2 linked regions of the Medicago truncatula genome follow. The protein of the gene in region 1 interacts with the protein of each later gene in a pairwise test. Links are inferred from orthologs where the notes say so. Each region holds a gene or a part of one and is shown in the gene's direction. Other genes may lie near its edges.

What was found.
Region 2: the proteins of auxin-responsive protein IAA9 (region 1) and RNA polymerase II transcriptional coactivator KIWI interact in binary tests that used the Arabidopsis thaliana proteins (3 or more experiments, as listed by UniProt). The link is inferred for Medicago truncatula from reciprocal best matches to the Arabidopsis thaliana genes IAA9 and KIWI.

The regions. Positions count from the first base shown.
Region 1 is NC_053049.1:30,676,925-30,683,889, reverse strand, and holds the start of auxin-responsive protein IAA9, read left to right. Parts: upstream 1-3,951; 5' UTR 3,952-4,151; intron 4,152-5,576; 5' UTR 5,577-5,595; coding exon 5,596-6,009; intron 6,010-6,208; coding exon 6,209-6,372; intron 6,373-6,757; coding exon 6,758-6,965. UniProt on the Arabidopsis thaliana protein: Aux/IAA proteins are short-lived transcriptional factors that function as repressors of early auxin response genes at low auxin concentrations.
Region 2 is NC_053044.1:47,690,230-47,696,899, forward strand, and holds RNA polymerase II transcriptional coactivator KIWI, read left to right. Parts: upstream 1-3,832; 5' UTR 3,833-3,902; coding exon 3,903-3,958; exon of another isoform or gene 3,959-3,966; intron 3,967-4,047; coding exon 4,048-4,228; intron 4,229-4,341; coding exon 4,342-4,447; intron 4,448-5,662; coding exon 5,663-5,685; intron 5,686-5,803; coding exon 5,804-5,863; 3' UTR 5,864-6,152; downstream 6,153-6,670. Other genes in the region: vacuolar protein sorting-associated protein 20 homolog 2, read right to left, coding at 194-277, 512-664, 1,016-1,168, 1,832-1,933. UniProt on the Arabidopsis thaliana protein: General coactivator that functions cooperatively with TAFs and mediates functional interactions between upstream activators and the general transcriptional machinery. Binds single-stranded DNA.

The DNA.
Region 1 (6,965 bases):
CAACATCCTACAAACATCGACTGTGGTATCACTCATTATGATATTTTGAGCATGAAAAAGGACGTCCGAAAATAATAATGGTCATTTTGAAAATGATCGATGTTATAGTTCCACATGTGATTTTGTTAAGAAAATGGGGAGAGTCTTTTTTTTTTTTAGAGAAGAAAATGGGGAGAGTCTGGAACCAAAAGAATAGTTCCTTATGTGGAAGAACTTGAGCTAATTAAAGTATCACATTAAATATTTTCATGTAATCGATGTCGGACTTTTAACATTAAGAGTCGGTGTTTATGATGGCTTTCCGTCAACCGACATTGATTGGATGATAACTCTTTTATTTATGGAGACTTCACATAGATATCAATATTTGGTTGAACACTTTAATCAAAGTTTAGATGTTGCTCTGTCATTGGTATACCTCAATGAAATCATCAATTGTTATGACCTTATCTAGGTGTGCGAGGAGAACACAAACCAAAAAGCGAACATTAAACAAAAGAGTCGCATGACTTAAATATCACATCGAACATTTTTATGTACTAGATGTGAGATTTCTAATAATTTCGGAGATGATTTTTCTCAACGTTTTTGCAGTGTTCTTTTTACCCCTCCATGAACTAATTCTCTTTGATGAATGTTGCATAAAATGATAGAAATGACAATTTTTTCCTCATGTTCTATATATTGTAGATAATTTTATTAAATGGGAGCTTGTCTCTAAGTCGTAATTTGTTTTGATGTGACGGTCTAACCCCTTCTTCTGTAGTCTTAATCCTCGTTGATCTATATAAAATATTTTACTCATTCCGTTTCATTTTTAAGTGCCATATTTGAAAGAAAATTGTGTTTGTGTTGTTGCTTTGTCATTGGTCTACCTCTCAATGAAATCAATTGTTATGACCTAGGCGTGCGAGGAGAACACAAACCAAAAATCGAACATTAAATGAAAGAGTCACATGACTTAAATATCACATCGAACATTTATATGTACTAGATGTGAGATTTCTAATAACTTTAAGTTGATTTTTCTCAACTTTTTGCACTGTTTTTTTTTTACCTCTCCATGAACTAATTCTCTTTGATGAATTCTGCATAAAATGATAGAAATGACAATTTTTTCCTCATGTTCCATGTTGTAGATAATTTTATTAAGGGAAATGTTAACGAGTATCCCCTTACACTCTTTAAGCACCTTTAAATGGAAAGTTTTTAATGAAAAGTTGTGTATTGAATGCATTGGAAATTGTAATAGTTGACTTTTTAAAAGAATTATTGTTAAATTTGGGATGCTTAAAGAGTGTCTCGGGGGCACTCGTTAACAAGACCCTTTTATTAAATGTGAGCTTGTCTCTAACTCATAATTTGTTTTGATATGACGGTCTAACCCCTTCTTCTACTCTTAATCCTCGTTGATCTATATAAAATATTTTACTCATTCCGATTCTTTTTTTAGTGCCATATTTGAAAGAAAATTTTGTTTGTGTTGTTGCTCTTTCATTGGTCTACCTCTCAATGAAGTCATCGATTGTTATGACCTAGGCGTGCGAGGAGAACACAAACCAAAAATCGAACATTAAATCAAAGAGTCGCATGACTTAAATATCACATCGAACACTTTTATATACTAGATGTGAGATTTCTAATAACTTAAGAGTTGATTTTTCTCAACTTTTTGCACTGTTTTTTTACCCCTCCATGAACTAATTCTCTTTGATCAATGTTGCATAAAATAATAGATATGACATTTTTTTCTCATGTTCCATATTGTAGATAATTTTAGGCTAAATTGCATTTTTGATCCCTTAATTATTTTGCTAGTATCGCTTTGACCCCTTAATTAAAATTTGATTTATTTTGGTATCTTAACTTTCTATCGTTACAAATTTTGGTCATTTACGTTAGTTTTAATTCAAAAACGTTAGGGTCATCTTCTTCTCCTCTTCTTCATCTTCATATCATCTCCATCAACCTTTCAACAACAAAAATCCAAGAAAAATTACATAAGAAAACCTAACGTTTTTGAATTAAAACTAACATAAAGGATCAAAATGTGTAACGATAGAAAATTAAGATACCAAAATACATCAAATTTTAATTAAGGGACCAAAGCGATACTAGCAAAATAGTTATGGGACCAAAAATTCAATTTAGCCATAATTTTATTAATTGCGACCTTATCTCTAAGTCATAATTTGTTTTGATGTGACGGTCTAACCCCTTCTTCTAGTCTTAATCCTCGTTGATCTATATAAAATATTTTACTCCTTTCGTTTCTTTTTTAAGTGTCATATTTGAAAGAAAATTTTGTTTTTTTTTAACTGTCATTTTTAAAGTTCAATACAATATTAATAATTAACTTATCAATAATACCCTTACTATTTTTCTTAAACTTGGTATCTGATTCAAGGATTGATTGATCTGAAGAGTTCAAACTGATCGCCACTTGTTAGGGAAATACCCTTACAATTTATTACAAAGAGAAAATTAGATGGAATAAAATATAAATGATTAATGATAATATAGGTAAAATATAAATGATAATATCAAAATTAACCATACTTATTAAATATCTTTGGTACGTGTAAAAAATTACAAAATCACACTTAAAAGATAAGAGTGAATGGATGGAGTTCTAATTAGTAATTATTTTTCTTGGAGGAAAAAGATAATCACGGGGATAACCATTTTTTTTTTATAGACAACATACCAAAAAAAAGGAAGACATAGCAATTTTTTTTTATTTTGACAAAACATACCAAATTTTCTTTTATCATTGTTTAATTTCGGAATTCATGGGATGTCGAAAATCAAACCATTTCAATAGAAAACCGCAATAAAAAAAAGTGCAAAACTTCTGTTTAGTTTAGTGGTATTTAGGTCAATTTTTCATTCAACAATGCGATTCAGTTCAGTTTACGATTTTTATACTGCAACCTGAATTAAGTCAAACTACATGTTCACTTAACTTAGAGTATTAAATTAGTAACTCAACCCAAACACCCTTCACTTAAATATATCTAGTCTTGAATAATTAATGTATCTAGTCTTTGTTATGGACATGATACATTAATTATTCAATGTATCTGAAAAATTAAATTTTGTTTATAATAGCAACCGGAGGGAGTATACAATGCAATGACCTGTGTTAGTACCTTTATCAATTAGGATACTTGGAATCACATAAAAGAATATTCATTTTCTTTATAAATAACTAGCGAAAAGACGGACATTCAATGTATCTGTCTTTCCGCTCTTTTTATTGCGATAACGTTTCAAAATTATAAACAGTGTTTTTTTTTATGAAATTTTGATTTTGATTAAAACTAAAAATATAGATGTTTGTTGCTTTCAAGTTATAACAAACCAAATTAACCATGATTATCTATTTTTATGACACCAACAATATAACAAAAAAAAAAATCCAAATTCTTTTTTTAATGACATCAACAACAATCTTTATTATAGAAAATATTGTTTTAAAGTATAATTGGTATAATGAAAAAAGTAAGTATAAATATACTCATTTAGTTTGTTACACTTTTTAGATGATAAAGGAAGAAGAAAAAACAGACATATAAATATTCATATCGTAATTCTTTTCTTTTAGGAATTTAAGGAAAAAATACAAAGTCAATTTTCTGGTACCGAAATAATAGGGTTATTTTTAAGTTAGTTAAGCTAATTTTTCTTTTTAAACTTAAAGTGAAATTGATATCAAGTTGCTTGATTTCAATAGCAAGGATAATGAGCTACTTCTAAGGACGTATTTAAGGAGACTAAAAAGAATTTGGAATTAAAAGTAAAGAAATGAAAGTGTGGAAGTTGTTACGGTAACAGAAGATGTTTGGTCTGTTTTGCCCCTGTCCCCTTAAAATGAATATAATATTAGTATTATGATGAAAAAGGTAAAATTATTTTATGAGTATGTATATTATACACACTCCAAAGCACACTTTTTGTTGCTTTGTGCTTAATGGAATGGAAGGCCCTTGAGTAGAATAGACTTCACTCTCTCTCTTCTGCTCTTTAGGTTTCACTCTTCTTCACTCTGCCAATTCTTCAAACAACAAGGAATAATCTCTCTCTCTCTCTTCTTCTTCTTCTTCTTCATTCTCTCTTCTGCCTTCTACACCAACCTTCCATTTTCACAGGTATGTTACTTCTATGCTTCATTTTTTATTTTATTTTATTCTTATTTTTTTTTTCGACAATAATTGTTCTTGTGTTGTTGTTTTTAGCTATTTTGCTTTCGGGTTTGTTTATGTTTGTGTCTTTTATGTTATTGTTTCTTAGTTTTTTCATTCACATTCCTTAGCAAAAGTTTTGTTTTTTTTTGTTTTTCTTTTTATTTGAAGGAAATAATTTGGAAAAAAGGTGGGTGTGGATCTATTTTTATAAATTTACTTTTTTTCCTCTTGCAAGTTGATTTTTTGTTTAATTTATTGCTTAATATGGGGCTATTAAATTTTACTTAGATTATGTTGGGGTTTCCTTATTGCAAAATAAAAATCCCAAATTTTTCATGGTATTTTCATTTTTTCACATTTTACTTTTTTTATTTTTTGGTACAACGCATTTTTTCATGTTAATTACGATTTTAAAAAATGAAGGGTATTTTCCATTTCTAAGCGTTCGAATATTATTTCATGAGCTTTATTATAATATTTTTGTTGAAAAAAGACTTATTTATATATTTTGATCAGTGTGAAAGTTAGGGGGTAAAAATGTTATTTTGATCCGTGTGAGAGGGTGAGAAGAACTAATCTTGGAGATAAAATCATTCATAGATGATAAATGATAGGTTCCTATAAAAACCAAACTTGACCATTAATTAATAAATCAAAAATGTCTGCTCTCACTTCTAAAGTTATTAGTTAGATGAAAAACCAATGGAGCACTGATGCACACCGGACACTAACACGTCGACACTGATAGTAATTTGAAAAAATGATACGATTGAATGTAATTACATGTCCGACAGGGACATTGACGCCTTCGATCAAAAGTGTCGATGCTACAGAGGTTGATACATACATAATAATATATACTATATCCAAAAGCAGAGATTTAAAACGTGGTTGTCTTTGCAATCCTTGATATTGTGGAAAATCACGGCTAAATGCGGCTGATGTAGCATCAATCGCAGTTGCACAGATATTAAATATCTTGATGTCACAGCCGAGATTGTAATTGCAACCCTTTTTCTAAACATTGTCTAAGAGTGTTCACATGCAATTGGATGCCCTCTTATTAATCTTGATTTAGTCTTTGCACTATGAAGAATTGGGTCAAACACCGGACACAACACTAACACTAACATGCGACATCATTTTACTAATTTGACAAAATGGAATAACTGAAGGTAACGAGGTGTGTCGTTGTCAGACGCCAAAAACACTTTTAATTTGAAGTGTTAGTGCTACATAGTCTGTGCTAGCCTACTTTTATTATTTCATTCATAGTTAGATGAAATGGTTACCATGTTCGTCCTATATGAAGTGTAAAAATTCGGTCTGTTTAATCTTTCTGCCAATGTATTGCGTGAATTGTGCTTTTATAACTTTCTTTTATGACAGTTTGCATATTTGGAATCTGATGTCTCCGCCACTGCTGCTTCCTGAAGAGGAAGGGCAGAGCAACCCCTCAACGGTAGCATCTGCATCTCCACAATCCTTGGACCGTTTTTCTCAAACTGCAGCTGGGTTGAAGGAACGCAATTACCTCGGATTGTCTGATTGCTCATCGGTTGACAGTTCTACTGTCCCAAGCTTGTCTGATGAGAAAAAAGAGAACCTAAATTTGAAAGCGACGGAGTTAAGGCTCGGACTTCCTGGATCTCAGTCGCCTGAAAGGGATCTTGATCTTTTTCCGTTGAACTCAACAAAACTTGACGAGAAACCACTTTTCCCTTTGCTTCCCACTAAAGATGGAATCTGCTCGTTGTCCCAAAAGACCGTTGTTTCAGGCAACAAAAGAGGTTTCGCCGACACACTGGAAGTGTTTCCTGAGGTGAAAAATTAAACTTTTTCCTTTTACTAGAGTTAATATATTTTTGGTGTGTTGCAAATGATTTTAGTGTCTGGGATGTTAACCTAGATGGGATTGTTGAAACTATAGGGATGCTTTTGCACATCAATTTTGAATAACAAAAGGTCAAATGGATGTTCATACTGCTTTTGAGTCTGATTCTTAACAATATGTGATGCAGGCAAAATATACTGCTAATACTCGCGTAAACATACTGCTTTCGCCGAGACCTTCTGGAGCTCAGCCTACTACAATTAAAGAAATGCCAAAGAAGGTGGTACAAGAGAGCCCTTGTACAGCGAATGGAACTGGAGCTCCCATCAGTGGCAGTGCACCGGCTGCTAAGTAAGTAGAACATGCTACATCAAGGATCCACTATTTTCTGGACAATCTAGTTGGACAAATATATTAAGAATAAACCTTCAGTTTATTCCTTTAAGTATCATTCTCTCTTCTACTTAGTCTGTAAAATATATAGAAATAATCGGTAATTCTTGCTATTATATATTGACAAGAGCTACTAGGGATTAAAGAGACGAATTTCATATAGTTTAGGGACTAACTTGACAGATGTCAGATGGTTTAAGGACTATTTATTATTTTGATTTAGTTTAGGGACTAAATAGAAGAGAGTGATTCTTCAATGACTAAAGCAATGGTTTACTCAATACCTTAGAAGGGATTTTTTGATGTCTTTGTAATAATGCTAATTACTTTCTATGTACGACAGAGCACAAGTTGTTGGTTGGCCTCCTATTAGATCATTTAGGAAAAACTCACTGGCCACCACTTCAAAGAACAATGACGAAGTGGATGGAAAGCCTGGTGCAGCTGCACTATTTGTGAAGGTTAGCATGGATGGCGCTCCTTATCTTAGGAAGGTAGATCTAAGAAACTATACAACATACCAGGAACTGTCGTCTGACCTTGAGAAGATG
Region 2 (6,670 bases), on another chromosome or scaffold:
TCAAAACAAATTAAACCCACAAATAAAGAACCTCCATTAATTAGTCTGAGAACAAGGTGTGTGTATGTGTGTGCGTGCGTGCATGTGTGTATGTCCTTTCCATATACTATGATTAAAACCAGCAGTACAACGGGAACAATATGAATGGATTATAAGTCAATACAAAATCACAAAAACCGAAAAATCTGTGTACCTGGGTTTCCAAGTTCTCAAACTCTGCTAAAATCTCCTCTTCATCTTCTGCTGATAATTGCTCCCCAAGTATTGCATTAATTTCCTTCAAATTCAGCAAAACCATGTAAACTATCGGCAAGTAGATGAGAATTGACAAAGAAAAAGTAGCAGCCAAATATATTAACAGCCCAACAGAACAAAAATATTAATCAACCCAGTACAACTTCAATGCCTAACCCCGTCCCCCAAAAAGATACACTCAAGTTCAATGAATCTAGATGTGGAAATCGGTTTTCAGAAGCAGCAAGCGTAAGGATAAGCGTGAAATCAAGCTCACATCTTGATAAGCTTTTGCTTCAGCGGTGTCATCCATAAGTTTCTGAACATCTTCAATGTTTATCTCACTTTGTATGGCCTCAATTGCTTTACTACCAGCCTTTAAACTTTCAAAGACAGCCTTCTGCTTGCTTGTCAGTTCAATATCTGCTAACTGAACCAACAAAGTAAATGTAAGTATCTCTTTTAGGCGTAGAAATTTATATTCATGTTAAAAGAGGGCAGTGTTGTCGCTCAATTATCTCTTCTGAACAAGACATCGAAAAGGGAAAATACCCAATGGCTCAATAGACAAAGACAATTGTAAAGCCATAGAAAGATGCTAACAGGCAGAGATTATCGGAAAGGAAAATACTCAATGGCTCAACAGACAAGAACAAATGTAAAGCCGTAGAAAGATACTAACAGGTAGAGAATGAGTCATTATTATTGGTCCAAACCAAAACAAATAAGTAGACTTTTATAAATAAATGACAGAATAATAAAATCAATATAAAAATATTACTTGTTGCTCAACATTTATAAGCCATGTGTCAACTTGCTTCAACAATTCTTCTTGTGTCTTTTTCTTCTTTAACGCCAACAATGCCCTGTCTTTCTTCTTTTCACGAATCAAGTCTCGTGCAGCTTGCTTTTCTGCTTCAATAACAGCATCAAGCTGGAAAATAAAGAACACGGAAAGGGAAAAACTCAAGTAAGGCAATGTATCATCTTTGATACTTCAGTGCTTATGTTCTATCCAAAATCCAAAACGCTATATCATCCCAGTTAATAACCAAAAAAGTGCAATCATCACCAACGTTCAGCTAATTCATTTTCCATACACCAGATACAATCAAAGACGGTCTAATTTTAACTCAGTGTTATTAATCTTGGATCACACAAAATATAGTTTTTGTTCAAATTCCTCTAAGCTACAGTGCTATAGCGGTGCAGCAGCGGCTGGTTTGACAACATTTTGTTACTAAATTGCATACCGTAGGACAATAGAGATTTGCTAAATTTCCTCTATGCTATAGCCGATATTTATTACAATTTCTTGATATAACTTGAAAAGTATGTAAAACTAATGAACAAATATTATTGATGACTTTATCGATTGAACAAAAGTAATCAATACAGTGGTCCTATTTATACATATAAGTCCATATGAAAATGAGAAGAAGTTAACAATAACTAACTTAACTAAATCTAAACTAACTATACTTGAGTTCAATTACTTTTTGATCTTTTAGCCCTAATAAGTAATTACCAGAAAATTTGACGTGCACAATGAGAATGGAATAAGAGATATGAAATTGAGGGTATTGAAAAAGGTAACCTTTTGTTGATACTGAGCAAGTTTGCGTCTCTGGGTCTTGAGTGCTAGAATTGCACGATCTACGTCGGTTACCTTAGGTTTCTTCACGAATATATTCCCCATCGATTTCGATTTGTAAATTCGATGAGGATGATCAAATTCAAAAGATGAGAGAATTGAGGTTTTGGTCGTTTCCAACACAGCTGACAAACAACCTTAAAGTTTCGGTCTGTTTGGAACAGATGATTTAGGAAATAGAGAAATATGTGAGGGACAAATAAGGGATGTTTCTATTGATTACTGTAGCAGTGAAACACACAGGAGAAAGAAAACCTATGAGCCCCACTGCTTTTTGGTTTCTTCGCTGGAATGACGAGAGAGTTGTTTCCTGTCACTTTGCACAAATACCCTCATCCTAAAAAACCCAAAATTGTATAATCAACTCATGATACGATTCCTCAAACTTTTTTTTTTTTCTTGGTAGAATTACAAATAAAAAAACTTTTGTTAGCTCTAACTAATTGTTTTTTCATTTTCCAAACACACACTAACAGTGTGTTTGGTAGAGAAGAATTAAGGGAGAGAGAAGTTGAGGCGAGAGAAATAGAAGAGAAATGGGAGAGAATTGAAACATGTGGGACCCACATATTTTTTATTTCTCTGCTCATGAGCGAAGATAGAGCTGAGAAAGGGCTACTTTTTCAGATTTCCATATTTGCCCTTGCCTCATTCATTGTTTCACTGCACTCCTTTTTTTTTTTACGTGAGTTTTTACTTTTCTTAAGGAGTGTGAGAGTTGCTTTCTTATTTTTTATTTTTGACAAGTTCCGTTCTTATTATTTTTAAGGTGTGAGTTCATTTTTTCTATCAAAACATTAAATTCGTCAAATTAATTAATAATTAAAATAACTAAACTATTTAAACTTTTAATTAATAAGTAATATTATAATAGGTTCTTAAAAAAAAGTAATATTATAATAGGTAGTTAAATTAATCTAGTTATTTAAACTACTTAAAATTATATCAAGTGATTGAATTAATTAAATTATTTTTATGAGATTTTTTATCTCAAGGGTATTTTTGTACTTTTTGATTCAATCAAAACTTCTCTCTTCTCTATTTCTTTTATCTTTCTCTTCTATCAAACAATCCCTCAAATCTACTCTATTTCTCACCTCTTTCTCTCTTCTCATACTCTCTCTTACCTATTTCTCTCTTCACAACTTCTCTTCTCAACCAAACATATCCTAAATGAAATCTTAACTCAAAATTATTTAAAAAAAAAAAGTGAGAATATGCAGCTTAACTCAAAATTATTTCCAAAATCTCACCTCATTTTTAAAATGTTCAACCTTCCCTTTTAAACAAGGGTCATATCAACCTGTGTGCTTAGGACACAGGTTATGAAGCTTACAAAGAAATTAAGCATTAAATGCACAAGTAAAAAAGATAAAATATAAAGCTTTCAAAATTAAGAATATGCATGCCTTTGGCCCTCCTTGTAATAAAAAAATATTTAAGAATATGTTGTAATTTAAGATTTTAGTTCTATTTTGGTTTCTTATCTTGTGCTCTATCATTTCCTTTTAAACGAGTTAATAAAATATAATCGGTTTTTGGATCAGATACCGAGTTTAAGAAAACAATGTAAAAATTTTAACTTACATTATGATCTAGCGATTATTAATGACTGAGAGCACTCTAAAATATAAATAAGATTAAACCATCAAATTAGTTATGTCTTTATAAGTCATTATCGAACTAGTTTTCGAATATATTAATATTTCAAAATAGTCTATCTTTATAAAAAAAAAATTCAATTAGATCCTTCGTCATGTGACAAAAACATAAAGGCAGAAACTTAATTGAGTAGTTTAAGATATTAATAGAGTCGATCATTAAATTAAAAATGATTTACAAAGACATATACTAATTTAGTGGATTACTCTATAAATAAACAACTCTATAAGATTTTTTTATTTTATTTTTAACATTTAAGTTTTTATTTTTTTAAGGAGCATAAGTTTTTTTTTTTTTTTTTTGACACAAAGAACATAAGGGTTGTTTTCTCTCTTTAAAAAGAGAGTTGAACATGATTCGACTCACTCACTGGCTCTTCCATTGCACAACCGTTTGGGCGCCAAAAAGGTTTCTAGGTTTTGATTTTTCGCTTTTCGCTCTTCCAATTTCTGCTTCCGTGTATTCAATTCCACTAACTCTCTCAAATCACGTTACAGTTACCTCACACCGCGAGTGAAATCAACGCTCACAGTTTTGGAGAAAATGTCTGGAACTGGAAAGGGGAAGAAGAGGGAAGAACTCGACCACGCTTCCGAGGACGATACTGAATCTCACGCGCCTCCCAAAAAGACCGCCAAGAAAGACACTGAAGATGACTCTGGTGACATCGTCTTTGAGGTAGGTTCCTCAAAAACCCCCAACTCCATTACTAGGGTTTTCTTGTTGTTGTTATTGAAATTTAGGGTTTTGTAATTTTTACTATTTTTATTGATTGATTTCGTTTCACACAGATTGGGAAGAACAGGAGGGTTTCCGTCAGGACCTGGAACAAACAGCCTTGGGTTGACATTCGCGAATTTTACACCAAAGATGGCAAGCAGTTGCCTGGCAAAAAAGGTATCGGATTCATTTTCTCATGAATCTGTGAACATGGTTCCGTTTCGTTGTTTATGAAATCTTTTAATGGCTTATTTGCTTATTGATTGGGTTTTGAAATAGAATGGTATCTTTATATCGTGGTTGCCTAGTTTGTTATTTGAAGAGATTCTTGAAATGTTGAATAGGATCATAGGATGTTCAAGTTGATGATAACTGCAGTTTTTACTTCCATAAGTTGTAGTATTCGATGTTGTCAATCATGCACTATAGCAGTGCAGCGTGACCTTCAAGAGTAGCGGCAATTCTACTATCTGCGATACCATTTTTTGGGGTTGTGCTACTCGCCACTATTTGAGATTAACAACATAGGTCTTAGTGATGCATGATGTTCTAGGTGCTCTATCCATTTGTACTGTGTACGCTGATCTGATTTGTCTTGCCAGTGAACTCAATTGGCAATTGTGTTAAGTTGTATTGGATAGATGACTCGTGAACTTAATTATCAGCAATATTATTTGATCCTTGTTGACTTGTACTGTGTGTGCTGATCTGATTTGTGTTGCCAGTGAACTGAATCGGTGATTATGAAATGGTGTTAAGTTGTATTGGATAGATAACTTGTGAACTTAATTATCAACAATATTCTTTGATTCTTTTGAGTTTTGATTGAAAGTGGTGGCCAACTTATGTTGGAGCTCGTTATGTTAATTGTGTGTGTTTCATAATGAGATTTTATTAGGCTTAAATCGTTTTAAATTCTAGCATTTTGTGAGAAAAATATAGGACTCCTACTGATTGTAAGTGTGCGTGTTTTTTGTAAGCATTTATTTGCAAACATTTAAATTGGGAAAGTTTGGAAGTAGTTTTAGGAAGTTGAAAATACTGTAGTTGGTTTAATCAAGTGAATGGACACTGGACCTGATTTTGTTTATCAGTTTTGAAAATTGTCTCCAATTCAATTTTATGGAAATTTTGGTTAACACAACTTTTGTTGCATCATATAGATGAAATTCAAAATCCTAATGATGGTATAGATTTTTAAGATAAGCTTGGAGTATGTTGGCTTTGTGAACTGCATTTGTGTTGGAAATTTTAGGCGTGCTTGCTTCCCTTTCCCTTTCCTACCAAACCTTGATTGCTGTCTTATTGTTGAAAACATAAGTTATCTTGCTTGGTGGTGGCCGTTGAATTTATGTAAAGAATTTACAATGACATTTGTTCACTTGTTTTCAGGTATCTCATTGAACATGGAACAGGTACTTCTTGAAACTATTGATGTTGTATACTTACAACTTACAACTTATAAGATTTGAACCCATTATTCATTGATTAATTGTCTGTCTGTCTGTCTGTCTCTCTCTCTTCTGTGTGCAGTGGATTGTGCTTCGTGATCACATTGAAGAAATTGACAATGCAGTCAAAGAGAAATCTTAGGAATTTGTGCACTAAATGGAATTACTAGTCCAAACACTATCTGTGGGTTTCTTTAGTTTTTTATTAATCATTAGAAGCACCTGACATGGATCCAAACCTAGGCTCAAAAATTTGAGATTTGAACATGTGGTTATTAGTGCATCTGTGCATGTAAAGAAAGTGTTGATTGGTTAGCGTATAGTTCCGTTATTTGCTAATGCTAATATCTTGAAACTTGAAAGTTTTGAATTTTGGGCTTAGGTGTGTGTGGAGATATTTTTGTTTTTTAATCTTTTCATTTTAATTTGCATTTTTAATGATTCTTTTTTTTTTTGCTATACATATTGGCAATAGATAACAAAATGAATATTTCTTGAACTACGGACTGAAATTGAAAATGATCTCTTCGAGCTTGTTTGATTCTGTTTTAACTCCTTAGTTTTTGAAAGTTGTCTAGTAAAATCATTCTAAAACTATTTTCTAATAAATATTTTTGTAAAAAAAGTAAATATGATTAATTTTGTTTTTTAACTTCAATAACACAGTAGAAGGCACGGTTTTGTGAGTTTGTTTTATAACAATTTTAACCGAATACATTTTTAATATAATAAAAATACAGGTACGTTTAAACAAGAAAAATAAGCAAGTCTGTATTTGCGTATTATATATATTTAATTGCCATGTGAGTTAAAATCATATGCCAACAATATACGTTACAGCGATGAAAGCATGTGCAAGAATTTTCATTAAAAAAAATTAAATCCGTTTTGATCTTCATATCATAATTTTCATACGTATGTTTGTTTCCCCTCGTTTCTTTCCCTGCAA